Oryctolagus cuniculus: one gene and its partners. The protein of the gene in region 2 interacts with the protein of the main gene of each other region in a biochemical or structural test. Links are inferred from orthologs where the notes say so. Each region holds a gene or a part of one and is shown on either strand. Other genes may lie near its edges.

Region 1 (2,682 bases), on a different chromosome or scaffold from region 2:
GGCCCGAAGAAGAATCTTCTAGGGTGGGGTCTCCATGGCGACGGGCGGGCCCGCCCCCCAGAGAGCGACGCGAGCCAATGGGAAGGCCTTGGGGTGACATCATGGGCTATTTTTAGGGGTTGACTGGTAGCAGATAAGTGTTGCGCTCGGGCTGGATAAGGGCTCAGAGTTGCACTGAGTGTGGCTGAAGCGGCGAGGCGGGAGTGGAGGTGCGCGGATTGAGGGAGACAGACACACAGACACAGTCCGCCCGCCCCGCCAGGACGCCCGTAGAGTGCGATCCGCACGGCTGCGTTGCTTTGCCAACTGCCCCGCGCTAGCGCCTGTGGATCCCGGGCTGGTGTTTGGGGGGAGCACCTGGAGAGCTGCTGCTTCTCCAGCCGCCCCCGGGGAGGAGAGCCCCACCGCACGAGCGCAGCTGACAGCCGCGGAGAGCGGCGACTGCAGCGGCCAAGAACTTTCCGAGCCGGGAGGACCGGGGACAAGTGGCCCGGAGTCCCGGAGCGAACTTTTGCAAACCTTTCCTGCGCTATTTGGGCTTGCCGCGGCGGCAGCAAAGAAAAGCAAGGCGGCGGAGAGAGGAGCGAAGAGGAGCGACGCGCGCGCGGCTCCGCTCGCCCCGGCCTCTGAACTTGACCGGCGCGAGCCGCTGCCGCCGGGAGCCCCCTGCCCCTCGCAGCGGAAGAGGGCACAGTCTCCGGGAGTCCGGGCGGCCGAGACCCGCCGCCACTGCGGGGCACCGCGCCGCGCCGCCGGGGAGCCTCCGAAGGGCGCGCAGTGAGTGACCGCGACTTTTCAAAGGCGGGCAGGCGCGCGCGAGCGGCCGAGGAGTGCGGGCGAGCGTCTGAACCCCGCCGCTCCCGGGAGCGGGGGCCGGTGAGCGGGGCGCCCAGGGGGAAGACAGCCCGCGGGTGCGCGCGCGCTCCGAAACTTTTCCTTTGCCAGAGGCCCGGGGAGGCGCGGGGTGCTCCCCGCCCGCCAGCGCGCTGTCGCGGCCCCGAAACTTGTGCGCGCAGCCCAAAGTAAGCCCACGTGAAGTGACGGACTGTTCTATGAGTGCAAAGATGGAAACGACCTTCTACGACGATGCCCTCAACGCCTCGTTCCTGCAGACCGAGAGCGGCGCCTACGGCTACAGTAACCCCAAGATCCTGAAACAGAGCATGACCCTGAACCTGGCCGACCCGGTGGGCAGCCTGAAGCCGCACCTCCGCGCCAAGAACTCGGACCTCCTCACCTCTCCCGACGTGGGGCTGCTCAAGCTGGCGTCGCCCGAGCTGGAGCGCCTCATCATCCAGTCCAGCAACGGGCACATCACCACCACGCCGACCCCCACCCAGTTCCTGTGCCCCAAGAACGTGACCGACGAGCAGGAGGGCTTCGCCGAGGGCTTCGTGCGCGCCCTGGCCGAGCTGCACAGCCAGAACACGCTGCCCAGCGTCACGTCCGCGGCGCAGCCGGTCAGCGGGGCGGGCATGGTGGCTCCGGCCGTGGCCTCGGTGGCGGGCGGCGGCGGCGGCAGCGGCGGCTTCAGCGCCGGCCTGCACAGCGAGCCGCCTGTCTACGCCAACCTCAGCAACTTCAACCCGAGCGCGCTGAGCAGCGGCGGCGGGGCGCCCTCCTACGGCGCGGCCGGCCTGGCCTTTCCCGCGCAGCCCCAGCAGCAACAGCCGCCGCCGCCGCCGCAGCCGCCGCACCACCTGCCCCAGCAGATCCCCGTGCAGCACCCGCGGCTGCAGGCGCTCAAGGAGGAGCCGCAGACCGTGCCCGAGATGCCCGGCGAGACGCCGCCCCTGTCCCCCATTGACATGGAGTCCCAGGAGCGGATCAAGGCGGAGAGGAAGCGCATGAGGAACCGCATCGCCGCCTCCAAGTGCCGGAAAAGGAAGCTGGAGAGGATCGCTCGGCTGGAGGAAAAAGTGAAAACCTTGAAAGCGCAGAACTCGGAGCTGGCGTCCACGGCCAACATGCTCAGGGAACAGGTGGCACAGCTGAAACAGAAAGTCATGAACCACGTTAACAGCGGGTGCCAACTCATGCTAACGCAGCAGTTGCAAACGTTCTGAGGACAGACTGTCGAGGGCTGAGGGGCGACGAAGAAAAAGAAAACAAAACCAACAGAGAGACAGTCTTGCGAACTTGACCGGTTGCGACAGCGAGAAAAAAATAAAAAAGACGCGTCCGAGGACTAAGGCCAAGGGTATCCAAGCCGGGCTGGGTTGCGTCCTGACGGCGCCCCCAGTGTGCACGAGTGGGAAGGACTTGGCGCGCGCTCCCCTTGGCGCGGAGCCAGGGAGCGGCCGCCTGCGGGCGGCCCCGCTCGGCGGAAGGGCTGTCCCCGCGCCATCACGACGGTAGACTTTTCTTTAACATTGACCAAGAACTGCATGGACCTAACATTCGATCTCATTCAGTATTAAAGGGGGGGAGGGGCGGGGTGACAAACTGCCATAGAGACTGTAGATCGCTTCTGTAGTACTCCTTAAGAACCCGACCGGGAGGGCTGGGGAGGGGCGGCGGGGGGCGGGGAGGGAGCCGGGGAGGGCCAGGCTGAGCCTGCAGATACACTCTTTCTGGCCTGCCTTCGTTAACCGTGTATGTACAGATATCTATTTTTTAATTTGATGAAAGCTGATTACTGTCAATAAACAGCTTCATGCCTTTGTAAGTTATTTCATGTTT
Region 2 (3,275 bases):
GCCCAAACACGCACTTCCTGGAGTAAGACAGGACTTCCATAGGAAATCCCTTTACTTTTCCTGGTATAAGTCCATGCAAAAAAGGTGAGATACGTCATTTCATCCAAAAAAAAAAAAAAAAAAAACCAGCAGCAAAGAAGAAAGTACCAATTGCAGGTGACGATTCCGTCTGCTGTATTCTGCAAAAGGCCCGTGAAAGAAGAGGGCCCCTTTTTCCAGTTGAAATAGTTTGTGCTCGTGGGCTCACCCGGCGTAGCTGCCAGTGTCATCACCAGGGCCGCCTGCAGTCTCCAAAGGCGCAGAACCACTGTGCGCGGCCTTCGCACCGGCCCGTGGGCCTGCGAGGTTCCCCTTCCGGCATGTTTGCTCCCGGAAGTGTCAGCTTCCAGAAACGCTGGCGGCTGCCTCCTTGGGAAGCCGGGAAACACTTCACCTTGGGACGGTTGTTGGAGGAGCCCTCTCTTAGCTCCCAGTAATGCGTCAACCCAGGGTGTCGTGTCGTGTTTTTCCTAATCCGGAGCAGACATTTAAAAGAGCATACAATAAAGTTGATTTAATTAACACGATGGACTGCATGAACCAGTGCACGCTCTTAAAGGCGGGAGACACAGTCCGGGGCCGCCGCAGCCCACACGCCACCTGCCTCCTGCTGCGTGTGAACACCTGACGTCGTTCGAATCTCTTTGAGACTGATGCGATAATAGAAACCATACATTGCGTTCGCACGGGGCCTCAGCAGATCCTTCCAACTTTTCGAAGTGAGAAAGGACACATTTTAAGAGTTTTGAAAGAGGAGGTGGCGCTTTCGCCACTGTCACGTGTGCAGTGCTGAACACACAGCCATCAGTATGCTCTGAGAGTGGATGGAGCTGCCCAAGCCCCCTGCCCGTCCAGCCTCTCAAGGCACAGGGCCTGCAGGACAGGAGGCTTGGCTGGGAGCCCCGGAGAAGAGGCAGGAAGTCTGCCCGTGGCCAGGCAGGCTTTGCCCCCTACCTAGAACATCCTTCGGAGGTGAACTTGACACAGCGGTCCCAGACAGAGGGGGCACCTCCTGTTGAGCCGGGACATCCCACGTTGCTATCATGAAGAGAAGGAAGCGGCAGGGGAGGGGCAGGTGGTGAAATCCCACCCACTCACTCCAGGCCCCCAGAGCAGACACCATCCTCGTCCTCGAAGCAGGGCCAAAGGGCAGTCGGTGCGTTCAGCAGACGCAGCCCTTCGGAAGTGCTGCTCCTGTGCTCACCTCTGTTTTAGAAAACAGGCTGGTGCCACCGGAGGGAGAAAAAGTCCTTCTTCCTTGACAATAATCAATGGATCAGAGTTCGAATATTCGCGCCCTCCTCACGGTCACTGCCCCAGCGCAGCCCCTCCCCCTCCCCGCCCACACCTCTAGGACACACTGGAACAGCGGATGCTGGGGGAGCCCATCTGGGTGAGGACCTTGTCCAGCCACTGCAAAGGCCCATTCAGGTGCAGCTCGATCCAGCAGGGGGTGCTGGTCACTGTCTGTCTCCTGCAAGAAACAAGGCAGGGTTGCAGGTAGGGGACGTTTAAAAACGTCCAGGAGGAAACACAGGCAAGTCACAACACCCTCCTCTGTGACAGTCTTCCCCCCCAAAGCCAGCTACACCGTAACCTGGCTCCATGCTGCCCTAGAGGAGGTCCCAACCATCCGCTGAAACTAGCAGGGCCAAGGTCCCTGAGCAGATCCCGAGCCGGGGAATGGGGGGAGGGAGGTGGCCCGAAAGAGGTAAATGTGAAGTCAAGGCCAGGGCACCCCCAAGGCCCCGCAGTGGAAGCCCTCCAGGCCAGCTCCTGTGTGTCCCAGGTGGGCACCAGCGGCTCCAGACACAGGCCCGGCCCGGCCCGGCCCGCCGTGGTGATGCGTGTCTGTCTGGCGGAGGGGCGTTCCGAGCAACGCACCGACAGCGCACATGCCTTCCGCTCCCCATGTGCTGATACAATTCCCATCTACGGCCTTATTTTGGAAAATCTTCCGAGCAGAGCGAGCCATGGAACAATTACTGGAAAAAACCGAGGCGCACCCCAAAGCACTCCGTCTCAATTCAGGCTGGCGGATGACGCAGCCCGCAGGCCGGCTCCCCGAGGCTATCTGCTGAGGCCGCGGTGGCCCGTGCCAGCTGGAGGTGAGAGCAGCGGGCCTGGGCCCTGCCCTCGGCCTCCTCGCACAGACAAGGGCTGAAACCCTACTCCCCTTGGCCCGAGACGCAGGAGGGCGGCAAGACTCTTCCGGGAAGGGGCCGCGCCTGCCCGTCGGGCTGCCGTGCGGCACTGCCAGGCGGCGGTGACGCGGTGGGCTGCGAGCACGGCGTGTGCTGGCCCGGCGGCCTGCCGGGGAGGGCGTCTGCCGCCGAGGAGCCCCTTGGGGCACGCAGGGCTGGACGGCCGCAACGCCGCACTGGGCCGGGCACTGCCTGCCTGGCCTGGCCTAAGCACCCCTGCCCGCTGACGGCCCTGCAGGGGTCCACCTGATGGAAGGGACCATGCGTGGCCCCTTGGGCTACAGTCCGGGTGTGAGAAGAGTGAGCAAATGGACTTCCCCTGGCTCTTCTCCACGGAGGGCCGCCTTTAAGTATTTCCCTTTCCCTGTCTTCTCCAAAAAAAAAAAAAAAAAAAAAAACTAACGCTAATCTTCCACTCTTGTTCCCTACCTGGTCCGTGCCAGGGCTAAAAGGTCAGTTTGGGTGCTTCCCGGCTGGCCCGCTGGGCCTGGGCTAATCTCTGCAGCCGTCAGAAGACGGCCGCCAGTTCTGAGGTCTGACCGCCATGCCGGCTCCACGGATCACCGGTGCTGGGTTTCAGCAAGACCCCGGAGACCACGCCACTGCGCTCCCCAGCCCCGCGGGGCAGCCCCGAGCACGGCAGCCCAAACACGAGGAGGACGACCGTGCGGGGCGAAAGCCTCTAATGAGAATCCGACTTTCCATAAGTCACGCTCATCTGGATCTCATTATGAACGGTGGCCCCGCGCCAACACTGAAATGGGTTTGGCCTGGGTGCAGAGTGACTGCAAAACAAAATGGGAGTCCAAACATCTGGAAAAATGAAGGGGAGAGTAACTCGCACGGCGCTGGCTCCAGCTGACGTGCGGGTACCGCAGCGTCTGCCGCAGGCACAGGCCGGGAGGGGGGCGGGAGGGGCCCACGGCCCTGCTGCCCAGGGGCACTCTTGTTCACCTGGGCTCTGCTCTGCAGACCCACGCCACGGTGTTCCGCAAGAGACAACCACGAGGACCAGGCAGGCCTGCCCCTCAT
Region 3 (3,648 bases), on a different chromosome or scaffold from region 2:
GCTGGACAGTGCCCCCCGCCCTGGAGTTGGGCTGCTGGGAAGAATTCCCTCGAGGTTTCCTCAGGTCCAGGAAGAGGGGCGGCCTGTCAGGGATCACCCGGACATCTGGGATGGAGGATGGTCCCCTCCCCCCCCATGCCTCACAGGGAGAAAATGAGACACAGGACAGCAGAGCAGTGGTTCTGGGTTTAATCGAGGATGAAAAGGGTGCTGTGCTGTGGCCCAGAGGACCCCCAACCAGGCACCCCACGTTCGTTCGCATTTTCAACTGAATAGAGGAACAAGGTGTAACTAGAAACAACAGCGCAGGCGCCTGCCCGCCTCCAGGCCCCGGGCAGCTGAGAGGACTAGGCCTCTGGGACCCATCACCCCTCCCCAGGGCCCAGGCGCCTCCCCAGCCCCGCTGCCCTTCAGAATTCCTTGAAGCCAGGCATTGATGGCCCCAACTGCAGGTGGGTGGGTGGGGAGCGGGGACCCCAGAGCTTCCTCCCAGCCATTTAGGGTACAATAAATACTGTGTGGCAGCGGCAGGGGGAGCAGGGGCTGCAGCCCCGCCCGCCCCGCCCGCCGGCCCCAGCCACCCACAGCCCTCACTCTGTGCGCAAGATGATGTGGATGCCGGAATCTGTGAACACAGGCCCGCTCATCTCCCCTGTCCGCAGCGCAAACGAGGCGTCTTCGAATGGCTTCTGCATCTGACCTGGGAATGGGGAGGGCCGGGGAGGGAGGAGAGGTGTCAAGGCCGAGGCGGGCAGGCGGGGACGGCGCAGATGGGGCTCCTGCCTGCGCTGAGCCTCGCGCTCATCTGCGCTCATCCGTCACCCACTTTATGGCCCTGTCACGGTGCAGCGCTGTGGCTCAGCTGGGGGTGGCGGGGCCATTACGGAGGCCCTGGGAAGGCGAGGACAGCATGAGGGATGGCAGGCAGAGCTGCCACGGCCGCACATTTAGAGGCGCATTCTGGTGATGAACTGTCCTCCCAGCGCCTGGCTCCCCGCCCGGCCACAGCATCTGTCCTGCTGGCCTCGCGGGGGCATCAGGGAGCCACAGCCCCTCGTGGCCTTCCCCACTCTCCCACACCCCCACCCCATCCTGGGCCCCCGGCCCCTGCCCTGGCCAGACAGGCCGACTAGGGCTGCCCACCCGAGCTGCTGCCCTCACCCACGGTTTCCCCACCTCTGGGAGTAGAGTGGCAATGCTGGGGGACATGCCCTGGGGCACTGAGGGGCCCAGCCTTACACGAGTGCCCAATGACAGGACACAGCCTGCTTGGTGACCCACGATGTTCTGCAGCCCTTACTCACCCCTCCCTCCCCTCTTCCCCCAGCAGGGAGAGCCTCTGAGGCCCCAGGGAGGGACTGTGCTGCCACCTAGTGGACCCCGAAGGCCTGTGCAGCAGGGACTGCTCCGGGGAGCCAGGCTGGCCCACTCCAGTCTCTACCCACTGAGGGCGGCAGTGGGGGTCAGGGCTGGTGCCCACTCTCGCACCTCTGCTGAAGGCACCCAGGTCTCCCCTGGCCTTGGCCGAGCTGCAGTCGCTGAACTGCGAGGCCAGAGACTCAAAGTCCTCCTCTCCCGACTTGATCTTCTGGATGTAGCCTGTGGACAGGACAGGGGAGGCTCCACGTCAGGAGTGGGGTGAGGCCCTCACTCCTGGAGCAGCTGTGCACACCCTCCCCAGTGCCACCCGCTGTAGTGTGTCCACATACATGCACAACCCTGCAGTACGGACAGCCACGCTGGTCTCCCCAGCCCACGCGTGCGCACACACATCTCAGAGAAAAATCTAAACCAAGCCCAACGGGGTGGAGGAGAGCAAGGCACCGGGAGAGGCTCTGGACTCGGCGGCAGGGGGCTGGGGTCCTCAGAGCAGGGCTGGGGGAGTTTCCTAGAGAGGGTTTGGGGGACAGGCCCAGTTCTACCACGGGAATCCACCGAGGCCCAGCCTGCGGGCCCCAGCTGTCAGATCTGGGGCAAGTGGGAGGGGTGCTGGGAAGAGACCCCCATGTGGCCCGGGTAGGGCTGTGCAAGGCCTTTGCACTGTGGCCCCAGAGCCACACGACTCCTACTCCAGCACTTCCCCAGTGCACAGAGCACGGCGGCACAGACGCGTGACTGGGCACACCCACACACATGCACACTCCCAGTGGAAAGGAGCTGCCAGTTGTCGCCGTGTGCATGTGTGACCACGTGTGACAGGGCGCACACATACACGTGCACACACCCCCAATGGAAAGGAGCTGCCAGTTGTCATTGTGTGCATGTGTAACTGTGTGTGACAGGGCACACACATACACGTGCACACACCCCCAATGGAAAGGAGCTGCCAGTTGTCATTGTGTGCATGTGTGACCACGTGTGACAGGGCACACACATACACGTGCACACACCCCCAATGGAAAGGAGCTGCCAGTTGTCATTGTGTGCATGTGTGACTGCGTGTGACTGGCATACACACACAAACACACACACACACACCCAATGGAAAGGAGCTGCCAGTTGCCGCCGTGTGCATGTGTGACCACGTGTGACTGAGCACACACACACATGCACACACTCCCGATGGAAAGGAGCTGCCAGTTGCCGCTGTGTGTGTTACTGCATGTGACAGTGCACACACACACACACATCCTCCAATGGAAAGGAGCTGCCAGCTGTTGCTGTGTGCATGTGTGAACATGTGTGACTGAGCGCACACACACACACACACACACACTCCCGATGGAAAGGAGCTGCCAGTTGCCGCCGTGTGCATGTGTGACCACGTGTGACTGGGCGCACACACACAATGGAAAGCAGCTGCCAGTCGCCCTCCTGAGTCCAGGCAGCCCTCGAGGTGGGCAGCAGCCTGTGCTTCCCTGCCCTCCACGGGCCCTCCAGCACGCAGGGTGGCCTTGCCGGCCCCTTCCCGGGCTGCACAGCTGCCATCCTGAGCAGCTCCCGAGGCTCGCCGTCCATTCCCAGCTCGGCCAGCAGCCAGTCCCCAGGGGGCTCTGGGGGCCGCACACCTGCCGGCGGGGTTCACAGCACCCTGACACTGCCACCTGTTGCTCCTGTCTGCCCATGGACCTGCCAGGTGTGAACGTCACTGACACGGCTGCCTGGCATGTGCCCGAGCGCTGGCTGATTTAATCGGTGCTGGGTGGCCTGGAAAGCCAGCCTGGGCGTCTGCCTGAGGCTGGGCTGCTGCAGACTTCCTCAGAGTCTGGTCTGACCTACACACCACACGCTACCTGCACACCACCACACTCTACCTCCTGCGACTCTACCTACACACCATCACACTCGACCTACACACCACCACACTCTACCTCCTGCGACTCTACCTACACACCACCACACTCTACCTCCTGCAACTCTACCTACACACCACCACACTCTACCTCCTGCAACTCTACCTACACACCACCACACTCTACCTCCTGCGACTCTACCTGCACACCACCACACTTTACCTGCTGTGACTCTACCTACACACCACCACTCTACCTCCTGCGACTCTACTACACACCATCACACTCGACCTACACACCACCACACTCTACCTCCTGCGACTCTACCTACACACCACCACACTCTACCTCCTACGGCTGTACCTACACACCACACTCTCTACCTACACACCACCACACTCTACCTCCTACGGCT

Evidence for each region.
Region 1: the proteins of SMAD3 (region 2) and JUN form a complex in vitro, tested with the Homo sapiens proteins (3 studies listed by BioGRID). The link is inferred for Oryctolagus cuniculus from reciprocal best matches to the Homo sapiens genes SMAD3 and JUN.
Region 3: the proteins of SMAD3 (region 2) and PIN1 form a complex in vitro, tested with the Homo sapiens proteins (2 studies listed by BioGRID, with this or other methods). The link is inferred for Oryctolagus cuniculus from reciprocal best matches to the Homo sapiens genes SMAD3 and PIN1.

Annotation. Positions count from the first base shown.
Region 1 is NC_091438.1:114,258,954-114,261,635, forward strand, and holds JUN (transcription factor Jun), read left to right. Parts: upstream 1-1,052; coding exon 1,053-2,066; 3' UTR 2,067-2,167; downstream 2,168-2,682. UniProt on the Homo sapiens protein: Transcription factor that recognizes and binds to the AP-1 consensus motif 5'-TGA[GC]TCA-3'.
Region 2 is NC_091443.1:89,967,305-89,970,579, reverse strand, and holds part of SMAD3 (mothers against decapentaplegic homolog 3), read right to left. Parts: intron 1,514-3,275; coding exon 1,390-1,513; 3' UTR 1-1,389. UniProt on the Homo sapiens protein: Receptor-regulated SMAD (R-SMAD) that is an intracellular signal transducer and transcriptional modulator activated by TGF-beta (transforming growth factor) and activin type 1 receptor kinases.
Region 3 is NC_091447.1:67,370,486-67,374,133, forward strand, and holds the end of PIN1 (peptidyl-prolyl cis-trans isomerase NIMA-interacting 1), read right to left. Parts: intron 1,600-3,648; coding exon 1,489-1,599; intron 701-1,488; coding exon 591-700; 3' UTR 176-590; downstream 1-175. UniProt on the Homo sapiens protein: Peptidyl-prolyl cis/trans isomerase (PPIase) that binds to and isomerizes specific phosphorylated Ser/Thr-Pro (pSer/Thr-Pro) motifs.